Sus scrofa: one gene and its partner. The protein of the gene in region 1 purifies or fractionates together with the protein of each later gene. This does not show direct contact. Links are inferred from orthologs where the notes say so. Each region holds a gene or a part of one and is shown in the gene's direction. Other genes may lie near its edges.

Region 1 (4,091 bases):
TTTCTGCTGTGCCATGATGGGAACTCCTGCAATTGATTTTTATGTATTGATTTTTTAAATTTCCTGAATTCCTTTATTAATTTGAACAGTTCTTTTGTGGGATCCCTTTTTTTTCTTTTAAAGTATAGTTGATTTGTGATGTGCCAATTTCTGCTGTACAGCAAAGTGAGTCATACATATAGACGTTTCTTAAGTAATATTTTCCGTTATGGTCTCTCCCAGGAGATTGGATCTAGTTCCCTGTGCTATATAGTAAGACCTTGTTGCTTATTCATTCTAAATGAATACTTTCTATCCCACTAACCCCAAACTCCTAATCCATGGCACTCCTTCCCCTCTCCCCCTTGGCAACCACAAGTCTGTTCTGTATGTCTGCGAGTCTCTATTTTGTAGATAGGTTCACTTGTGCCATATTTTAGAATCTATATATAAGTATATAAGTGATATCATATTGTTTTTGTCTTTCTTTTTCTGATTTCACTTAGTATAATAGTCTCTAGTTGCATCCATGTTGTTGTGAATGGCATTTTTTTTTTAATGGCAGAGTAGTATTACATTGTACATATGTACCGCATTTTCTTTTCTTTCTTTTTTTTTGTCTTTTCAGGGCCGTACCCATGGCATATGTGGGTTCCCAGGCTAAGGGTCCAATCGGAGCTGTAGCTGCCAGCCTACACCAGAGTCACAGCAATGCGGGATCCGAGACGCATCTGCTACCTACACCACAGCTCATGGCAATACTGGATCCTTAACCCACTGAATGAGGCCCGGGTCGAACCTGCCACCTCATGGTTCCTAGTCAGATTTGTTTCCGCTGCGCCATGATGGGAACTCCAGCTGTCTCACATCTTTTAAATCCATTCATCTGTTGATGGACATTTAGGTTGTTCGCATGTCTTGGCTGTTGTGAATAGTTCTGGAGTTCTCTTGTGGTACAGCAAGTTAGGGATACAGTGCTATCACTGAGTGACTTAGGTTGCTGCTGTGGCAGGGGTTCAGTCCTTGGCCCAGGAACTTCCATATGCCACAGGTGCAGCCCCTCCCCCCAAAAAAGGAAGATACTGTGAATAGTGCTGATATGAGCATAGGGGCTGCATGTATTGTTCCGAATTATAGTTTTGTCTGGATATATCCTGAGGAGTAAGATTACTAGATCGTATTTTTAGTTTTCAGAGGAGCTTCCTTTGTTTTCTGGGTTTTTTTTTATGGTCACACCCATGGCATGTGGGAGTTCCCCAGCCAGGGATTGAATCCATGCTACATCTGCAGCAATGCTGGATCCTTTAACCCACTGCACCCGCCAGGAATCAAACCCGCACCTCCACAGTGGCCTGAACCACTGCAGTCAGATTCTTAACCCACTGTGCCACAGTGGGAACTTCTTTATACTGTTTTCCATAGTGGTTGTACCAATTTACATTCCCACCAAAAGCGTGGGAGGGTTCCCTTTTCCCCACACCCTCTCCAGCGTTTGTTATTTGTAGACCATTACTATGATGGCCATTCTGTCTAGTGTGAGGTGGTACCTCACTGTAGTTTTGCGATTTGCTGTTCTCTAACAATTAGCAGTGTTGAACGTCTTTCACGTGCCTGCTGGCCATCCATATGTCTTCTTTGGAGAAACTTCTGGTTAGTTTTCTGCCCATTTTTCAACTGGACTGTTTGTTTTTTGTTGTTGAGTTGTATGAGCTGTTTGTATATTTTGGAGATTAAACGCTTCTGGGTTGCATCATTTGCAAATATTTTCTTCTAATCTGTAGGTTCTCTTTTTTGTTTATGGTTTCCTTTGCTGTGCAAATGCTTGTAAGTTTAATTAGGTCCCACTTGTTTATTTTTATTTTTGTTTCTTTTTGTGGAATCTTTAGGGTGTTTGTTCTCTGTATGAGATCATGTCATTTGCAAACAGATAATTTTACTCCCTCCTTTCTAATGTATATGCTTTTTACTACTTTTTCTTTCCTAATTCCGGCTAGAACTCCCAATACTGTATTGAAAGAAGTGGTGAAAGCAGATAGCCTTGTCTTGTTCTTGAGCTTAGTGGGAAGCCTATCATTCTTTGACCATTAAGTATGATGTTAGCTGTGAACCTTTCACACTGCAGCCTCTATCATGTTGAACTGCCTTTTTTGCTTCTGCATCTTAAGTGCTTACACTTTTGCCTCCTGCTCATTTAGTTTCTCCCATTAGTAAAAGTCCCTGGTGCCTTTCCCTGACTCTGCATCTGCTCACAGCACCCACTCTCTCCCTTCCTTGTGACTTGCCTTCCTCATCTTCCCTCACTTGTGGCCCAGCTCAGGCTCCTCTGCTTCTCTGAGAGTCTTGCAGCGTGTCTGTTGAGCTCCCCCCTCCCTTTGTGGACACACCTCCTCTCCCATTACAGTGGCCCTTGGCCATCCCCTCCTCAGATTCTTGGCCTTCTGGTGCCGGCTTCCCGCAGGCCTCCTGGCCCATGGCCCTTGTGCACACCTGGGCTCAGGCCCACTCTGATTTCTTGCTTACATCTTCCCAGGCTCCCAGGTTTGAGATCACATCAGAGAGTTGGTGGAAAGTGCAGATGCTTTTTAAGAGATGTGGGTGCTCTGGGCCTGGACTGGGGTCTAGGGCCTCATTCTTGTTGGTGACCCCTCCTGGGCCCTTATGTGGGATCCTGATAGACTGTCTAGAAACCATACAGTGTGGAACAGTGCCCTTGGCAGGTTTTATCTGCTTATTGTGGCCTCTGTTCCACCAGCGGGCACGCTGCCTCTGGATTTCACAGCACCTTCTCCTTTGAGCTCCAGACCAAATTTATACTTGCCTCCTCAACATCACTGCTTTGGGGCAGCTAGGCACCTCATGCCTCCCATGTCCTAAGCCACATCCCCTCTGCCCCTCATCAGGCCTGCTTCTCCTCCAGGCCTGTGACCTCCACGGAGACCCCATCCCCTTTCTGAAATGTGGGCCCCACTCTTGTGGTAACCGTTCCCTTGCCCCAGCAGCCCAGTGGTGCATCCCCATTCCTGGACACCCCATCCCTCTGCTGTCTCAGGCCCAGATGAGGCTGTAGCTTTGTCACTGCCTTGTCCTCACTTGCCCCTGCAGCCCCTTCTGATCTGGGCAGTGTTGCAACCCAGGCTTCTGGTCATACAGTACCTTCTTGATTAAAAACTTGTGTGTCTTACAGATATGCAAACCAGAGTTCTGGTTTATTCCAGGTGGTAGTGCTGCCCTGTCCAGGCTGGGTGGCTCTTCTTGATCCCCCAGTGTGGTACTCAATCACCCCTACCTGTGCCACTGCTCCTGCTTCCTAGAATCCAGTTCTTAGTTCTCATGGCATGTTCCTGGGAGGCCTTTGCTAATCCCCAGACTGGGCCATGCCCCCATGACCTTTCCCCTCAACAGCCCCCCTCGCCCTGTGTGCCTCCCGCAGGAGAAGATGCAGGACATCTATTGGCTGCTGCGTGTCTGCCTGCGGACCATTGAGCATGGCGACCGCACGGGTCCTCTCTTTGCCTTCATGCCTGAGTTCTACCTCAGTGTGGCCATCAACAGCTACAGCGCTCTCAAGAATTACTTTGGCCCTGTACACAGCATGGAGGAGCTCACAGGTGATGGGCCGTTCAGCCTGGGAAGGGACAGAAAAGGGGGCCTTTGGATTGAACCCCCGTGGCCCGGCAGCACACATGCACTTGGGGAGTAAGAAGGCAGCTCCTACTCTGCTCTGCAGCATCATGCAAGCACTTGCAAAAGTCCCACATGGTGGTGAGCTCTGCCCTAGTACTGGCAGCCTAGCACTTGCAGCTTCTCTCTGGTGTGGGAGGAAAAGAGGCAGAATGGAGTACAGGGTGTGGGGATACCTGCCGCCTGCCCCACCCTGGCTTTGACTTGCTTCTTGGTGCTGCTGTGTGGCCCAGGAGCCAGCTGGCCTCTTGCCCTGCCATCCTGACACTGGCCATGGGGTGTGGCATCCCATGCAGGGCCAGAGTCGTTTCTCTTTGCAGACCACAGCAAGGAGGTGGGGCGGTGGGGGAGGGGGCTAGGGGCTACTGGTGGCCCCCTAGGAGTCTGGGCTTCTTGCAGACCACTGGTTCCAAGCTGGGCTCAGCAGTTTA
Region 2 (3,115 bases), on another chromosome or scaffold:
TTGGGCCCTCCGAGCAGCAGTCAGGCGGCCTGCAGGCTGGCCGCACACGTCCACCAAAGGGGGGTGAGGTCAGAGCACGGGGCTGTGCGGTGTCCACACGCCGACCCTGGGCTGGCAGCGCCCACAGCCCCCACTGTGAGCGGTCGAGGACAGAAGGTGGCAGAGGCTTAAATCGCGTGGTGTGAGCTGCCGAGAGTTCAGAGAAGCCCGAGAGGCTTTGAAAAATCTGTTACCTTTTTGTGCAGAGCCGACCCTTTCAGAGATTGTGCGCTAAAGTCGGGGCAAAGCGAAGGGTGTGTTGTCCTGTTGGGGATTTTTTGTCCTGAAAACGTACATCCGTCCAACCCCCAAACGTTGGACATGGGGTCATTGTTCCTTCCAAAAATTAGCACGTGTTTATGCTTAAATCTCATTAATTGCGTTTAGCATTAATCTTAGTTTCCGTTTTTAAAGATAAAATGTGAAGGAAACCTTTTTCTTTTTTTTCTCTGTCTTTTAGGGCTGCGCCTGCGGCATATGGAGGTTTCCAGCAGGGGTCGAATTGGAGCTGTAGCCACTGGCCTGCACCATAGCCACAGCCGCGTCTGCGACCTGCACCCCAGCTCACGGCAACGCCGGGTCCTTAACCCACGGAGCGAGGCCGGGGATCGAACCTGCATCCTCATGGATGCTAGTCAGGTTCCTTGCCACTGAGCCCTGACAGGAACTCTGAAAATGCTGTTTCTTATGAAAATGACGGGCGTTTTGTCTGCACTGAAACGGAATTGCTCGTGCGCCCCTTTTCCCCGACACTCGCCCTGGATCGAGTGAAGGCCGTTGTGCCCGCAGAGCCGGGGCTGCCCCAGGGGGACCCGCGGCCCGTCCGCCCGCCCGCCTCTGGGCGGCAGGCAGACCCTCACCTCGGCGCTGCGTCTCCCTGTGGTTCAGAAAACCAGGAAGCGTGCGGCCGAGGCCGTAGGGAAAGGGTTTTCGGAGAGCAGCCCCGGCGGCGTTTTAACCCAGCCTCTGCCAAGCGCCCAGACGCTTCCGGGCGCGGCCTCAGCCGGTGCCTTCTCCCCAGGCCGTCGTCTCCCTGATGGAGATGGGCTTCGACGAGAAGGAGGTGATGGACGCCCTCCGGGTGAACAACAACCAGCAGAACGCCGCCGTGAGTAACACCGCCGGGCGCCGGCGGCGGGTGCCCTGGGCTTTGCGGCAGGCAGGGCGCCAGGTGGGCGGCGGCGCCGAGCTCTCGGGCCCCGGGAGGTTCTCGCTTTGCCCTCAGAAGCCAAGCGCGGTGCTGGGGCTGAGGGACGGGTTGGTGGACTTCGTTCCACTAGCGCCAGGATGGACCCGTGCCCAGCGCGGCGGGGAGCTGCCCGGGAGGGGCTGGGGCGGCAGCTTCGCCCACTTGCGGGGTCAGAGCCGGGCAGTGGCCAAGCAGTTGGGAGACAGAGAGGCCTGGACCTGGGGGACGCCCAGTCCTGCCCGGCCGCTTCCCCGCAGCAGAGCCCAGCGTTCTTAGTTCCTCTCCCCATCCCGTTCGCTGGCCGGGTGGGCTGCCTGCCGAGAAGACCACCCTGGGAGCCGGCCGGGAGCTCCAGCTGCAGCGCTTGGGGTCGGAGGGGGTCCGGGGACACTAACGGCTGCCGCCCTCTGTCCGCAGTGCGAGTGGCTGCTGGGAGACCGCAAGCCCTCTCCCGAGGAGCTGGACCAGGGCATCGACCCCGAGAGTCCCCTCTTTCAGGCCATCCTGGACAACCCCGTGGTGCAGCTGGGCCTGACCAACCCCAAGACGTTACTAGGTGTGTGCCTTCTCTCTGCTGGTTCGGGCGGGCCCGGCAGCCACCGCACAGATGGCCCTGCTGATATTGCCGTCACCACCCCCGGTAGCTCCTGCCACGAGTGCCGCGTGGGGCCCGGAGATTGGGCCCTGCTCGCAGTGGGACAGCCGCCTATGCGGTGGCTCTGTTCAAGCTTTGATAAACCAGTTAAAGTGGATGATCCAGGCCGGCAGTGTAGACAGCAACGCAGGGTAGGGCCGAGCTTGAGGGCCTGTTGGTTGACTGGCTCTTACTCCTGTGAGGCGTTCCCGTGGCATTTTTTTCGACTGTGATGTGTATACGTACGGAAGGGTCTGTGCCTTTAAGAGTGTTATGCTTAAAGAGAATAATAAAACCAGCAACCGGTACCTGCTGTTCAGCTTAAAAAACCCGGATTTTTAAAAGCCAGCGCAGCCCAGGCCCCAGGGGCTCCCCTCCCCCCGCTGTGAGTGGCCCGAGAGCCTCCCCCGGGCCCTGCTGCCCGAGGCTGGTCGCTGCCTCTGTGTTCCAGGCAGGCTCCGCTCCGGCCGGGCCTCTGTTCTAGAGAACTTCATCGCAAGGCGGTGCCAGGACTGGCCGCTCTGCTCTGCGGCCATGGCACCTGCTGGTTCCTTGCCTGCCCGGCTGCCCTGCGCCCTCCGTGGCCCGCGGGAGGGTTTCTCTAGGCCGCCTGCTTCAGGCAGGGCTTACCAGGCGGCCGTGAGTGTGCTGAGCCCGTTCACCAGGAAGGTGGCGCACGTCCACAGCGGCTCAGAGCCCTGGTCCCTGGCCCCCCAGGAGCAGCCTCCCAGCGGGCACAGGTGCTCCTGCCTGCCTGGCCCTTTGCCTGACCTCAGAGGCCAGTCTGCTTCCAGCAGTTGCCCGCCGTCGGCCCCTCTGCCCGCAGTTGTCCTCCTCTCATCCAGGCGCTTCTTCCCCGCACGCTGATCCCGTCACTGTGCAGACTCCGCTGCCTTCTCCCCTCGGTGAACACACGTCCTGCTCTTGAAGCAGCTGAACGTTCCTGAGTCCTGGAGGAGGGCCCGCTGGTCCCACGGTCAGGAGACCTTCTCCTCTCTCCTTTTCTAGTGGTTTTTTGGTTTTTTTTTTTTTTTGCTTTTTAGGGCCGCACCCGAGGCATATGGAGGTTCCCAGGCTAGGGGATGAATCAGAGCTACACCTGCCAGCCTACGCCACAGCCACAGCAGTGCTGGATCCGAACCACATCTGCGACCTACACCGCAGCTCATAGCAATACCGGATCCTTCACCCACGGAGCAAGGCCAGGGATCGAACCTGCGTCCTCAGGGATCCTAGTCAGATTCGTTTCCGCT

The links. Proteins that work in one complex are often made in the same cells at the same time.
Region 2: the proteins of RNF123 (region 1) and UBAC1 purify together in Homo sapiens (affinity purification with mass spectrometry; 7 studies listed by BioGRID and IntAct, counting the BioPlex papers as one, with this or other methods). This does not show direct contact. The link is inferred for Sus scrofa from reciprocal best matches to the Homo sapiens genes RNF123 and UBAC1.

What each region holds. Positions count from the first base shown.
Region 1 is NC_010455.5:32,238,770-32,242,860, forward strand, and holds part of RNF123 (E3 ubiquitin-protein ligase RNF123), read left to right. Parts: intron 1-3,409; coding exon 3,410-3,587; intron 3,588-4,091. UniProt on the Homo sapiens protein: Catalytic subunit of the KPC complex that acts as E3 ubiquitin-protein ligase. Promotes the ubiquitination and proteasome-mediated degradation of CDKN1B which is the cyclin-dependent kinase inhibitor at the G0-G1 transition of the cell cycle.
Region 2 is NW_018084833.1:1,669,690-1,672,804, forward strand, and holds the end of UBAC1 (ubiquitin-associated domain-containing protein 1), read left to right. Parts: intron 1-1,060; coding exon 1,061-1,147; intron 1,148-1,645; coding exon 1,646-2,095; 3' UTR 2,096-2,191; downstream 2,192-3,115.